Lytechinus pictus: one gene and its partner. The main gene of each other region encodes a partner of the protein of the gene in region 2 in a complex. Links are inferred from orthologs where the notes say so. Each region holds a gene or a part of one and is shown on either strand. Other genes may lie near its edges.

Region 1 (7,758 bases), on a different chromosome or scaffold from region 2:
TCAATCCCATAAGACTAAATTAGCATAAACTTTGAAGTTGAAATCTTAATTATCAAGGATGTTAGATCGCATTTCTTATCTATTTAGAGAAAAGGCAATTATATTTTAGATGACCTCTGTGACCTTCAAACTTTGTCCATGTGACCTAAAAACTACTTAGATAATCGTCCTCTCTATTGCATGAGACAATTTAATTAGTCAAACATTTCAAAGACAAGTAATTTTCTGGTACTTGTACATATAATAAATAACCTATGATATGACCTCCAACTGTTAACCTACATACCCCAAAAATAATTAGATCATGTCAATTCCATGAGCCAAATGTAAAGTTGATTATAAATCAAATGGTCTATATTTTACTATAAGAACTAAAATGAATAGAAGGACTTGACAAGGTCTCTGACGACTACCCTGGTAAGAGGAGGCAATGCATAACAGTAAACAAAAAGATCTGAAAAAAAAAAATTTGAATAACAAATTAACAGGCAAATAGTCAACGTTGGAGTGAACTTTTTTGTCCATGAGGTATTTGCTGTTTAAAGATGGAAGCGAATAACTTTCAAGAATACACCATAAAACAACAACAAAATAGATAATCTACCTGTAAATGAAAGCTGTAAAACCAACTCTGCAATAGATGTAGCCCGTCTTGTGATACATCTTCCGAAACATTTTTAACTTCTTCAGTAGGCTTTTCAAACTAAACGACATCAATTCTTCTCACCCAACAGCTTTATTTTACCACAACTGACCTGCTTAGCCCTCCTCTCAGCCTTTAATTCTGCCTTGCTCTTTGCAGGGGCCTGAGCCAGATCTTTTTCTTTCTGCTGCTCCGCAAGCTGCTTCTGTTTCAGCATCTTCCTCTCCTTCTTAGATAACTTCTTTTCACCTCCCTCGCCCCCTGCAGCATCACCTCCATCTTGAGTTGGTGTCACACCCTCCTTGACCTTCTTCCCTTCGCTCGTTGTGGAGGGGTGCGCTGCGGCTTTGGCTACTTCAGCCATTCCTGTTGTTCAAAAATAAAACGAAAAGAAATTTGTTTCATTATTGATTTTATTAACTGAAATTCATTTTAAACATGTTAAAGCCTCTTTTGCTTTTAGGTTTTGGTGAATTTCTTAAAAGTTTGTCACCGAGTGTTCTAGTCCATTAAATGGAATGGAACAAACACCCTCTCACATTAAGACAATCCCCAAAAGTTGAATCATTTAAGAAGTCTCTAAAAACGTTTCTGTTCTAGGACTAAACAACTTCCTTCATTTTATATGTAATGTTAGGCTTATGGCATTCTGTACTTGTTTTTGTATGAATTAGGTAAACTGAAATTGTAAGCACTTGGGCCATTTGGGATAAGCGCATTACAAATATTGGGTATAATAGTTAAATAACTAAATGTTATGTGGACTGGATATGAAATACATTGTAGTATTTTCCAAATTTCATCCTTCTTCATTTCTCAACTTTGCCTTCTATTACTCATCATCTTCGAAAGGACATTACCCTTGGATACCAGTTACTTCCACTCCTTAGCAATAAACATGCCAACAAGTGGTCAATAATGAACCTCGCACAGCACACTCACCTGTGACTCACTATAAATTCTCTGAATTGGTGGTTCCTTCTCTCCCCTCTCTTTGTTTACATCCTCCAACACATTTGGGATGAAAACTACCACTTTCTTTTTTAACACACTTCTCAAATTTTTCTACTATAGTAAACACGTGTTTGGAGAACGTCGTCAAATTACTTAATACTTTTGTGGATTTCCATCATATCACTTGAAGCAAACTTCATCCATTGTATCTTCCACCTAGGCTCATATCATATTCAAGTTTTCGTACTACCCTTTTTCTCTGTCATTTCACCAAGAGAATTTAGCAAAATAAAAAATACTGCTTGTGCTAGCCTAGTTAGTTTTGTGATAATATCTGTGTGATTTTGTGAATAATATATTATATACTGTATACATACACATATTGGGATCATGCAATAAATTGGAACACTTCAAATATATTGGAGGATTGTCTGTCGGATGTCTCTACACGCATAAAGTCGGTAAGTGGAGATTGGCTTACTACCATTTCATCTAATAACCAACCCCCGTTACAACATTTTCATTATAGATCTAGGCCTATAGAAACATTTAGATCTAGAAATATTTGATTTCGTGCCCAGAGCTAGCCAGGCGGCTTCAAAGAGAGTGAAAATCATTTACTAACGTAAGGTCACTCTCATATGAAGCCAGGGCTGGCTAGGTATACTTTCGTGTGTACCACCAAAAAACCTGAAACTTTTGCCCCCGAGATTTCTACTTTCTTTCTAATAGATCTAGCCCTAAATCATGTACATGGGATAAAACTTCATTTCCGACATTTCTACGCTCTCGTTGTTATTTTTGAACAAGAATTCATCAAAAAAATGAGAGAAATATTGTGTAAAGACGGAAGAGACTTGCCCGATGTTTACGCCGCCATCTTGTTTCCTATTGTTCTTCGCCAACGTTACAGACGCGTGCGTCGGGTAACTAGATCTATCTATTTTTTTTTCTAGATATAATAAAATCTATTATAAAAAATGAACTCCTCACTCAGGAATCATGGCATTTGATTTATGCGATCCGAGGCAAGATTTATAACAAAAGCTGTAGAACAATTGTTCAACTTCAAGCATCAAAAGTCCTTTATTCCCTTAATTCTTGATATTTGTACTTAGACGACTTAATGGACGGGGATATGGCTGAGCTGTTCTGTGCACATTTCATTACATGTCGCCAATGAATTTAACCCTGGCTCTGTTGGCATCTGTGACAAAAAAAAGACATGAATGAAAGCGTGTGGGACTGTGCTAACATATGGACATGCAAATGCCGGCAACAAACAAAATTAATTCCCCATAAACAGATAGGTAATAACGGATGACGACAAACATTATATTAATTTAAATTGGTTGAAAAAATAACTTACAAACTGCAAAGTCAAAGTCCCGAGAAGGTGGAAATGTAGTGGGGCTCTTCGACTTCGGCTTCTTCGTCTCGATGGCCTTTTGGACAAATTCATTCCAAAACAGATGGTAGAAGTTGATCAACATATTTTGCAAAGGAAACTTGAGATTTTTGAGTATTTTACTCAACATAGTTCTAAAAAATAAGATTCGAACTACTCTTTCTTAATTATTTTTGAAAATATAAATTGATATGTAAAATAGTAACTTGATATTTTCACATTTATTTACAGAAGATTTCAACTTAGCACGAGATACCTTTTATACCCCTATTATTGAATGTAGTCTCCCAAGTTACTTTTTGCTTCCACTATATACTGTTGGCCTATGTGAAAATAAAAGACTTGCTTGGTGTAGGGTGTAATATCAATATATCTACATCTTACTATGATTCCAAACTACTCTCAAGTATCTTGAAAGTCTCTTGCATTTAACTTCGTTTTTGAATTCCTGAACATTTTATGGCGGAAAATGAAACAAGAAATGGAAAACCCAAGAGGAGATATAAGGTAGGTTAAACTATTGATCGTTTTATTCAACAGAGTAGTAAATTGACACAGAAGTGTTTGTTCTGTGGTGAATGCGAATGAGAAGAATAGAAAAGGCTTGTTGAACATGATCCCGACATGAATAAGAAAAGGGCTCTTTTACAAAGTGCTCCTGCATTGAAATAAACGAGGACGCGAATTACGTCGTATAATGCCTCTATATATGAATTAAGCGTCACATGAGCTTCATGTTTTGAGTCACACGGGTGTACGATAGAAGAATCCCATGTACTATGAGTAGGAATTATTTTATTTCCGAGTATGCATGTGTTCCAAGACTTTCTGACTTCAGTAAAGGTAAGTATAAAATCACGTACATTGTTTACCTATAAATAATGAAATATGTTAGAATGATATGTCGTTGTTTCTTTAAAAAAAAAAGAAATGTAGAAAAAGAAATAAAAGGAAAAAACTATATAAGATAGGCCTACTCCATACTGTTAAATATTCTGCCATATTCAACTAAAAACCTCACTATTATTGATGCGTATATACCTATCTACTACCGATTATATACTACTACTACTACTACTACTACTATAGTAGTAGTAGTAGTAGTAGTAGTAGTAGTAGTAGTAGTAGTATAGGTAGTAGTAGTAGTAGTAGTAGTAGTAGTAGTAGACTACTACTAACTACTACTAGTACTACTACTACTACTACTACTACTACTACTACTACTACTACTACTACTACTACTACTACTACTACTACTACTACTACTACTACTTCTACTACTACTACTACCTATACTACTACTACTACTACTACTACTACTACTACTTCTACTACTACTACTACTACTACCTAGACTTCTACTACTACTACTACTACTACTACTACTATACTACTACTACTACTACTATTGCTGTTGCTGCTGCTACTGGGTTAAGTATCATAATGATTGAACGAGCACATTCTCTACGGGAATGATTGTGTTATCAGAGCCAATTCCATAATACCACTTCAAGAATTCTATAAAATTAATATTTCAGCTTTAGCATGAGGAGTTATTATAGGCCTTTTCAATATTATACTTAATAATAAGCTTGTGCGCAGCAAGAAAATAAATAAGTTCTTTAAATATTGTTATGAGTAGAATAACGTGTAACAATTGTTTTGGTAAGAAAGTTGATTGAATTCAAAAGCAATATAGTGGTAACAATACATTTTAAAGCTTTATGAAAAATGTCTTTATGAGAAGATTAAATGTTATTACATCGAAAATACTGATTCCATTTGAAGATTTTGCGATTGGACGAATTATTTGAATGGATAGAGATTGATCAATCGTGTTATCATTCATTAGATTCTTTTATCCTTTGAACAAAAAATGCATTTTGAGGTTTGCCAAACGATATCTTACTGGATGTTGTAATAATATTATTGTAAATCTAAACATACTGCATGAACATGTGAGGTTTCGTGCCCCTTCCCAACGCACTACAAACAAAAATACATACACACACACACCCACACACTCACAATCACAACGTAAATATCATTTTATATGTTTATCATTTACTTTCAGAATTGGTTATGCTCATGCAAGGTCGCTTTATATTACCACCTAGAAATCAATAAAATAGCGAAGGCATCGATTTTAGTTTCTTTTCCATTATAACATCTTGATTTGGGGGAGAGAGAAGTGTGAATTTAGAAATTGAGATGTTGAGAATGTCATCATGATGTACAGAAACTTTTATTTTACTTTGTTACACTCAGGAGCGACGTCATATATGGGGTAGGGGCAGGGGGCATCCCACACAATGACTTTCCAAGGAGTGAAAATGGGAAAGAGAAGAAAAAGGAAAAAAATGAGAAAAGGAAAAACAGAGGGGAGAGGACTTTCTAAAATGAGAGACGTGTAATTGTATAAAACCCCCGGTGATTCGAATAAGAAAAAAATATGCCGTCACATTTAAGTCGCTTTGAAGAAGAAGAAGAAGAAGAAGAGGAGGAGGAGGAGAATGAGAAAAAGAAGAAATGTGAAGTGTATAAATAAATTATCAGTAGTAGTAGAAGTATTATTATTATCATTATTAATATCATTATTATTAGAATTATTATTAGTTGTTGTAGTAGTAGTAGTAGTAGTAGTAGTAGTAGTGGTAGTAGTATCAGTAGTAGTAGTAGTAGTAGTATAGTAGTAGTAGTAGTAGTAATAGTAGTAGCAGGAGTACTAGGAGTAGTAGTAGTAATATAGTAGTAGTAGTAGTAGTAGTATAGTAGTAGTAGTAGTAGTAGTAGTAATAGTAGTAGCAGGAGTACTAGGAGTAGTAGTAGTAGTAGTAGTAGTAGTAGTAGTAGTAGTAGTAGTAGTAGTAGTAGTAGTGGTGGTAGAAGTAGTAGTAGTAGTAGTAGCAGTAGTATACTATTAGTCAATATCCCCTTCTGCTCCCAACAAAAATTATCTTTAGTCGGATAAATTCATTGAATTCTAAATAAGAATGAAATTATCTCAAGTAGCATTTTGTTCTTGAATACCGGAAAACCATATATCAATAAAAGTGAATGAAAAAATGATACATTTACCAACGGTATTGGGCAAACGTTCTAAAAGGCTGCATTCGACCGAAGCGAGTGAGTAAATTATTTTGTCCTAATTTATATCCCAAAAAATTAAATTTTGTGATAGAATTTGACATAAAATTCAAAAAAATATATATCACATTTCACCATTTTCCCTTTCCTTCCTTTCCCTTTTTTTCTTGGTCATGATTTAAAAAAAAAAATCATTTTATTTATTTATCTTTTTTTTTGTTGGGGGGGGGGGGGGTCATGGCACTAATTATAAGGTCCCTCCCCATCTCTAACATGTCTAAGCAAGTGTATGGTATAATATTGAGACCGGAAAGAAATATCAACCAGATGTATAAAAAAGACCGGTGACCCGACATTTGTTCGGGTCTTAATATCTCATAGAGCACAGGGTTAGAATTAAAAATGCAATAGAGTCTTGAGTCAAGAATAATATGAAGATTTAGAAATAAATATTTGAATTTTACTTTATTCATTTACTTTTTTTTTCAAAGAAAACAACCGTTAAAGGAGAATGAAACCCTTGAAACCAGCTGAATCCATATCAAAGAGAAAAATCAAAGAAACATATTGTTGAAAGTTTGAGGAAGATTGAATGAATAATAAAAAAGTTATGAGCATTTGAATATTGAGATCACTAATGCCATGTAGTTCCTCCCATTGGCAATGCGACCAAGATCTGTGATGTCACACACGTACAACTCCCTCATTACTTTAGTACTTATTTCACTTATATTCTCACTTTTATAGAGTCTATCACAAGGTGAGGTGTTCTCTTTATGAGAGGACAAGAACAGAGGTTTCACAACATTATATCATTGATGAATCGTTTGTCATATGATTAGAATGAGCAAAAAGATATGTTTTTGGGTATATTTTCAGTGTCCAAAAGGGGAGAGTTGTTCATCTGTGACATCATAGATCTTGGTCGCATTGCCAATGGGAGGATCTCCATAGCATTAGTAATCTCGACATTTAAATGCTCATAACTCTTCTATTGCTAGTCCTATTTCACTTTTGTTGATCTTATTCTTTGATTTTTCTGCTTTCACAAAAGCTAACTTGCTCCAAGAGTTTCATTCTCCTTTAATAATATGATATTCATGATGGCGAAAATAGTCAAGTTCACTGGTTGCCAAATAAAAAGAAGAACCCCCCCCCCTGTTTGGCTTAATGTGCAGATTTTCCATCGGAGCAATAATTGTCGCCGGAGAAAATGTCATGAAACCAAAAGACCACACCCTCTCTTTACACACTGCATGCTTCATACACTGCATACCTTTAGAAAAAGCGGAAAAACCGAAACTTGTGATTTGACCGATATAGTTGTATACTATTCGTCATTTCCACGGTGTATAACACTGACACATGTATAGGCTTATCACGACAAATAAAATAACAACCCCAAAAACAAATGGATGATATCCAATGTAGGTCTATACTCTTCTCTCCCATTATTGATTGAAGTACTAATATAATGAGGAATTCTGGTAAAATAAAAATAATTCTAACACAATACGCTTTGTCGTACGGGGAATATTGTGGGATATTTTTAATAAATAGAATAATCGAATAGGCAAATAAAATAGTGAATGACCATTATAAACATTAGATGTGAACAATGAGTTGACCAACTAATTGTATTGTACTTATTTATCGGTTTATTGAT
Region 2 (7,614 bases):
ATTTTGATGCTTGAAATTTTAATAAATTTTTAATATCTATAGTCTGCAGTTTAAATTAAACCAAATATCAAACACCGACAAAATTCGTTCAAATTTAAGAAAAACTTCAGAACAAAATTTTAGCATTTCACATAAATTCTTATCATTTGTTAAGTCATATGTAACTTTACAGTTTTATGAAACAGCCCCTTGTGGAATTATATCAACTTTGTTCCTACTTTATGACAACATGAGAATGAGATTGTGTTTAATTACAAATTATATTGAATGTGACTTGATTATCAAACTGCTCTTAAGATATTTTTTTTTAAATATTAAATTAACCTGCAAAAATTGATCAGAAAATAAACTTACTCAACATGATGTTTGATTTGGTTGGAATGTGAACTGCAGAAGACAAATATTTCCTGAACACCGTTGGTTGCAAGAAACTCCAGCGTGTAGTCAATGATTGGACAGTTCACCAGAGGAAGCAATGCCTTCAAACATAAACAAAATGAAAAGATGTGGTTAGAAACTGAGTTCCTACATGGATGGCAGGTAACTAGAGTTGTTATTTAATAGAATATGAATGTCAAGGTGTAATGATATCAAAGTCAACCATTCCCCATAGATACTGCCCTAAGTTTTCCGCTTTGCGGATTTTCCGCGGAAATCGCGGAAACCGGGGTAGAAAGCGGAAAACACAGTTTTGAAAAAAACAGTGAATTCGGTGAGAAATCTTAGTTTTAAAGTATAAAAAAATTGGTTCCAAAAGCATCCTAATTGATAATACAATCTATAAAATCCAGTCTAGGAATTGCACAAATTAAGCTCTGTGAAACCAGCCTACCGATCGCGATCGCACACCTTACCAGATTGGACCCACAATAAATTTATAAGTACAACACTACATACTACTTACGCAATGCAGCTCTCCCAGCAGCGTTTGTGCGCAATTCGTTCTGGAAATTTCCATGCATAGCGAAAGCAATATTCACGTGCACATCACGTTACTACGGTGATGGAACGCTTGGTCGCCCGTACTAGTAGCATGTATGCATCAACGAACGTAGAGGACAGCAGCAACACTGAAGTGTGTTGCTGCCCTCTACGTTCGTTGGTATGCATGTTCATTAATGCAATATGCACGGGGAGTAAGCCTACGTATAGTAGAAATAATTTTACTCCCCAGACGCCTCCAGGGGCCCGTCTCTCAACACCGTCATAAGTCTAACTTCTTGACTAAATCGGAGATAGTGAGCTACTTGTCTGCTAACCGTTTCACGAAGCCCTCTTTACCAAGATCGGGTACAACCTCACTAAATATTTATGACACCTCCGAACCTGTCATAACTTCTTTCTTAATGACGTATGGCATCACGTGGGTAGACTGACATGCAAAAGTGCCTAGAAATTTTCAAATTATAATCTTACGTAATCAATCATAGAGGTTGAAATTACATCACAAAACAAGTGGGATAATGCATTCAATGATAATTGTAATACAAAGAAACTATAAAAACTGTTGGTAATAACAAAACGCCACAGAACCATTCATTTTGAAATAGTAAAATGATTTAATCGATAAAGATTCTACCACGTCAGGCCATCCATAACTGAACTCGTATTAGTTGTTTTCAGACCCCTATTAACAGTTGGATAATTCTATCTCTAATTTATGCATATAATTTGTCAAATTTCGTATGTTTCGGTATCAATTATTAAAAAATGTTTCGTTAAACTATAATTTTGATGACTTTCGGAGTCATAAAAGACCGTATAATTATCATCATTTTACATAGAAAATCGTTATGGTTTACTTTCGTAAACTATTAAAATTTGATATCCCGGGGGTACCCATCTCAACATCCACAACAAGTGATTTTTTAGTCATGAAATGAATTATTCATAAATCAATTTTCACTGCTATTGAACATGTTGAATGGTCCAGTCTTCATGGCCTAAGTATGTATGATGCATAATTCACCTGTGCTATTATTTTGAAAAGATTTATTTCCCAATTCATCACAATATTTGCAATTTTGTCATAATTTTTCTTTTTGAAAATGATGCTATTTTGTGACTAAAAGTCTAAGGCTACGTCTCGTCTGCTCTTTTTACCGAGTATCGATATCAAGGTATTCTATAAGTTAGGAAGCCTTTCGAGAAACAGGTTTAGTAAGATTGGAACTAACTCCGTGGTTGGTGGATATAGATATGACTAAGTAACTTGTCCATGTGTTGAGAAACGGGCCCCAGGCTACCCACGGCCTAGACCAAAAGCTTCAGTCTGTCTCTGTTATGTTGGTTGTTCAGCTGAACTCCGTTGGCTTCACTCACCAAATACAGAGACCGAAGTTCTAGCGCGATCTGTACAGGGGACTCAATGGCCATATGTTTATGTGTATTAAGTTTGGATAAAACAGGGCAGTGAAGTTGTGCGACAGCCGAGGTAAGTCACTGTTTTTGTTCCTTTTAACTTGATTTTCCCCGTTTTTTGGCAATTAATGCCAAGAGGGAATATTAATTTGCATTTCGGTCGCGTTAATTTTCAAAAGTTTGATTCATTAAAGACAAAAATTGAAGAGCCCCGACGGGGGGATTTTGCATTGTAAGTCCCCTAATGGTGGCTGCACGATAGCGAGCCGTCTGTGTATGAGGAGAAATTAAAAAAATTAAAAAATGTTAAAAAACTCCTCGAAACAGACGGCTGCCAGCTGTCTACCCACGGCCCACCTGGGACGGGACGGCCCGAGCCCGGGGGACTGAAGCCGGCTACTACGTACGGGTACCGTACCGTATACGGTACCGCATCCGCACGCATCACACACCAGCTGCTTACAAATTCTACCAAAAATTATTGTATCTGTAGGCATAAGCAGATACTCACTCGCGGTTTTTCCAGGCTTACAGGAGAAAACCTAGTATTGAAGCTATCTGCAATAACAACTGCTTGGAGAACGTCCTCCTTTTCCAACGAATTGTCGGATTTCCCCTTTGCTTTTTTGCCAGACATGGTGATGAAGTCGCGTATGGACAGCTACACTACAGATTCGTGTAAGGACCAAGATTGTTGGCTATGTTCAGCTTAGATTTACGCGTACCGTATACCGTACACTGAACTAGAAATACATGTACGTATATACGTAAATACGTATCTCTAGTTCAGTGATACCGTATATTTCATGCAATATTTGATTGAATTTAGCAATTGTAATGTAGTCGACTTACTTAGTATGTAACCATACATAAGACAAATAATTCAGCTATTTTTTATATATATATATTTTTTGTAATAAGGACCATTAGATTAGAGCCGCATATACTAGTAGTCGATAGACTAAATGCCTAAAAAGTGCCAGTTGAGTTCAAAGAATCATATTTGTGACAAGTTTGTTTGAATCATTGAAGAAGCTAAATATATTTCACTAATCAATTTTTTTATATCGATCCAGCACCGCTCAATCATGAACAGGAATCATATAATTGTAACACTCTTTAAATGTAGCGTGGTAGGTATGGATGAGTGTTAGCTAGTGGTAAGACTTCAATAAGGGAATCCAACTCAAAGTATATAAAGTTCAGATGATATTTAATCACGCAGACATATATATATATAAATGAACAGTCGCTTGTTGAGAACTCGGGCACTCCCCTATCAAGGCCTCAAAGGGCAGGAGCGCAAGCTTATGGAGTAGTAGTCCGAAGACTAAGGAAAGAACCTAGAGAATATCAAGCACCTCTAATTTATACTCTGAGGGGAGGTGTTTACCCCTTTGGACTTATCTATTGTGACTGTACATGAGTAGACAACTAAATGAAATAGAACAAAGGACAGGTCTGGAAGATGTAGGGAACAAAGAGTAATGAATAAGGATTGAGACGAACTAATGAAGGGAGGAAGATTAATCTGAGGGAATCTATTGTTTGCCACTGATGGTGGTGTTTTCATTTGGTTAAAGTATTGTTATTATATGGTCATGTGGTCATGGTGGTTGTATCACTGCCTGAATATACCCAAGGTCTAGTGATATATAATTTAGACAACTATATAAGCTGCTACATTGGAATGAATATTTTACTCTTACATAATTATAGGCCTACCTTTATCCTCTTGAGCAGATTTTAAAAATCTATTTTAGGCTATGCGAGCACAAAGGGCGAGATAAATGCTCAATTTGATTCGATGGCCTAATCCCCCCCCCCCCCCCTTCCCTGTAGTTTGCCCCGCCAATATAGGGGGAAGTGCGACTGCTTTGGCCCCCTGGATCCACCTATATAACAATAATTAAAAAAAATTAATGATAATACTAACAATAATCTCTCCCTTTTTAACTCTACCATTTTACTTTATTAAAGGTCAAGTCCACCCCAGGAAAATGCTGACTTTAATAAGTAAAAAAAATCAAACTGGCATGCCGGATGTAAAATAAGAAAGTTTTGATATTTTAAAATTTCGCTTATTTTTCACAAAACACGGTGATATACATGCACAACTAGGTCAGTCAGTCGATGATGTCCATCACTCACTATTTCTTTTGTTTTTTATTGTTTGAATTATATAATATTTCATTTTTCATAGATTTGACAATAAGGACCAACTTAACTGAGGGAACCATATAGTATTAAACAATGCTAATTCCGCATTTTCAGGGAGGAATTAATCGTTTATTTTACATCCGATTTTGATAAAATTTTCAGTGTCATCAGTGGCGTACCGTGGGTCACAGCATTGGGGGGGGCACCAGCAAAAATTTTGAGTCACTCAGTGTGAGTATACTAACCTAATACATTTTAAGGACGGCGCAATGCCATTAAACGAATGTGTATCTCACTGATCAAATAATGCGAGCACAAGCTTAAAATTTTTGATATTCAGACCTAAAAATAGACATTAAAGGAGAATGAAACTCTTGGAGCAAGTTAGCTTTTGTGAAAGCAGAAAAATCAAAGAATAAGATCAACAAAAGTTTGAGTAAAATAGGACTAGCAATAGAAGAGTTATGAGCATTTAAATGTCGAGATCACTAATGCTATGGAGATCCTCCCATTGGCAATGCGAGCAATATCTATGATGTCACAGATGAACAACTCTCCCCTTTTGGACGCTGAAAATATACCCCAAAACATCTCCTTTTGCTTATTCTAATCATATGACAAACGATTCATCAATGATATAATGTTGTGAAACCTCTGTACTTGTCCTCTCATAAAGAGAACACCTCACCTTGTGATAGACTCTATAAAAGTGAGAATATAAGGGAAATAAGTACTAAAGTAATGAGGGAGTTGTACGTGTGTGACATCACAGATCTTATGGTTGCATTGCCAACAGGAAGGATCTACATGGCATTAGTGATCTCAATATTCAAATGCTCATAACTTTCTTATTATTCATTCAATCTTCCTCAAACTTTCAACAATATGTTTCTTTGATTTTTCTCTTTGATATGGATTCAGCTGGTTTCAAGGGTTTCATTCTCCTTTAAAGCTAATTTTTGTTATGATACGTACCTGTCTCGCTAAACAACAACGCGAGCGCAAAGCGCAAGCTGAACTTGTATACATTTACCCCATACAGGCATATTTTAAGGGCTATTTTTTAAGGAATCCATTAAGAGTATACATATCTCACCATAGTCATCTAATCGAGTGCCAAGCGCTTGCTGATTTTGCTAGAACTACATCTAAACACATGAATTACTTTTTATAGTCATTGTAATCATGATTCTCATACGCATCTCGCAAATCAAATATTGCGAATGCGAAGCGCGAGCTGAAAATTCAGGAAGTTCAGACCTGAAGAGGGACATTCTAATTAAGGCTCGTTTGTAGGAATTCACTAAGACCATACGCATTTCACTAACCAAATTATGCGAGCGCGAAGCGCGAGCTGAAATTTTTTTAATTGATATTCAGATCAGAAAAAGGGACATTAATTAAGGACTGATTTTAGGAATTCATGAAGATCAGACATACCTCACCAATCCACTATTGCAAACGTGAGCACGGAAGGAAATGTTTTATTTGAAGACCTTAGAGTGGGGCAATCGCTTTAGTTGTCATGAAAAAGAAGCATATGTCACTACATAAAACAATAATAACTCGAAGTGCGAGGAAATATGTTTGGAGTATATTGATTTGAAAACGGAAGGTTTTAGCACAACAGGATTATATATCTCGTTAAACAGACAATACGAGCACCAGGAACAATGAAGACATAGGCCCTGAGCAAATTGTGTTTACATAATAGTAATGATAAAATCATAAAGAACAATAATTTCTTCTTTCCCACTACGTTTCTCTTTCTTTTCTCCTTTTTTTTTTGGCCAGCCGATCGACCCCCCCCCCCCCCACCCCCATGCCCCCCGCCCGTAGTTACGCCACTGAGTGTTATGCTTGTTGGATTTTTCTCTTTTTATTCAAATCAACTTTTTGTTGGGGTGGACTTGTCCTTTAAAAACATAAAAATCAGCATTGCGTAATTTGACGGACAGAATAATGGCGTACTGGGTGGGGGTCTAAAAAGTCCCAAGCTAGGGAAGCGAGCTAGCAACAATATCAATCTAAAATGGAAATCTTATATTGTGACAAAGTTTGACATATTTTATATCGAGAAAATAATTTCATTTTTACCATTTTCTTCTTCAATTGCTTACTTGTCTCCTCATTTTAAGTCTTTGAAACCTTTTTTGGGGGCAACCATCCAAAAAATCGCCCCATTTTTATGCCAGTGCAAGTCCCGTTAGAGTCATATGGGGAAAATTTCTCCGATTGCCACTTTTATATAGCAAAGTTTTAGATATCTCCCAATCTGGATTTTTCATTATTATCATTAAGTTTATCTTCATAAATTCGGTGCATATGTGCCCACGGGGGGGGGGAGGGGGCTTCCTTATAAAATGGCCCACACATTTAATTTAAGTTTGCCCAGTCAAAAGGCTATATATACGCCTCTATCTCCCCCTGTCTCTCCCCCCCCCTCTCTCTCTCTCTCTCCCTCTCTCCTTCCATCTTTCCCTTTCTTCCAGGGTGTGCTTATGTACTATATCTTCCATATTCATTGGTCTCGATCCCTTCAAAATATGAAGACCACATACCATATCCATCATTCCGAATTCCATTACTCGATCTTGCATTGACGCTTTGCATACCTTCTAAGGGCTAAGACCTCGCCTGAATTTTATGATATTGAAAACACAAAAAGGATCGATTTGGCTTCAAGGTTGCATTTTTAATATAATACTTTCTGTCTACGCAAATAATTTTTACTCAGGCTATATATTTACCTCATAAGTCTCTCTTTTTGTCATGTTACTTAGAAAAGAACTGTGTTCAAAACAAATTTTCAATATGGATATATATAAAGACGAACTTGAATTTTAACTTGACACTCCATCTGAAGTCGATCACGATCACAACCTATCACTAAATAATCACTACCGTGTTATAGACAATGCAATCAGCATTCAGCTATCAATTGCTTGATCAAAAATCAATCAATTAATTATAAATCGATAAATTAATCAATAAACCAATAAATCAGTCTCAATCAAGTATTCAATCACCATTCAGCTATCAATCACTTAATCAACAATCTATCAGTCAATCAAACAACCAGTCACTTTTCAG

Evidence for each region. The genes of interacting proteins can lie anywhere in the genome.
Region 1: the proteins of translation initiation factor eIF2B subunit epsilon-like (region 2) and translation initiation factor eIF2B subunit delta-like are in contact, whole or in part, in a cryo-EM structure (PDB 7D46), measured with the Homo sapiens proteins. The link is inferred for Lytechinus pictus from reciprocal best matches to the Homo sapiens genes EIF2B5 and EIF2B4. Residues at the interface, in NP_003898.2 of Homo sapiens: Arg163, Lys294, Arg339, His340, Glu357; in NP_001029288.1 of Homo sapiens: Arg357, Tyr393, Pro396, Glu397, Lys466, Arg467, Glu469.

Annotation. Positions count from the first base shown.
Region 1 is NC_087245.1:39,272,103-39,279,860, forward strand, and holds the start of translation initiation factor eIF2B subunit delta-like, read right to left. Parts: upstream 3,087-7,758; 5' UTR 2,967-3,086; intron 1,010-2,966; 5' UTR 1,008-1,009; coding exon 756-1,007; intron 1-755. UniProt on the Homo sapiens protein: Acts as a component of the translation initiation factor 2B (eIF2B) complex, which catalyzes the exchange of GDP for GTP on eukaryotic initiation factor 2 (eIF2) gamma subunit.
Region 2 is NC_087249.1:3,462,165-3,469,778, reverse strand, and holds the start of translation initiation factor eIF2B subunit epsilon-like, read right to left. Parts: upstream 3,089-7,614; 5' UTR 2,999-3,088; coding exon 2,873-2,998; intron 480-2,872; coding exon 355-479; intron 1-354. UniProt on the Homo sapiens protein: Acts as a component of the translation initiation factor 2B (eIF2B) complex, which catalyzes the exchange of GDP for GTP on eukaryotic initiation factor 2 (eIF2) gamma subunit.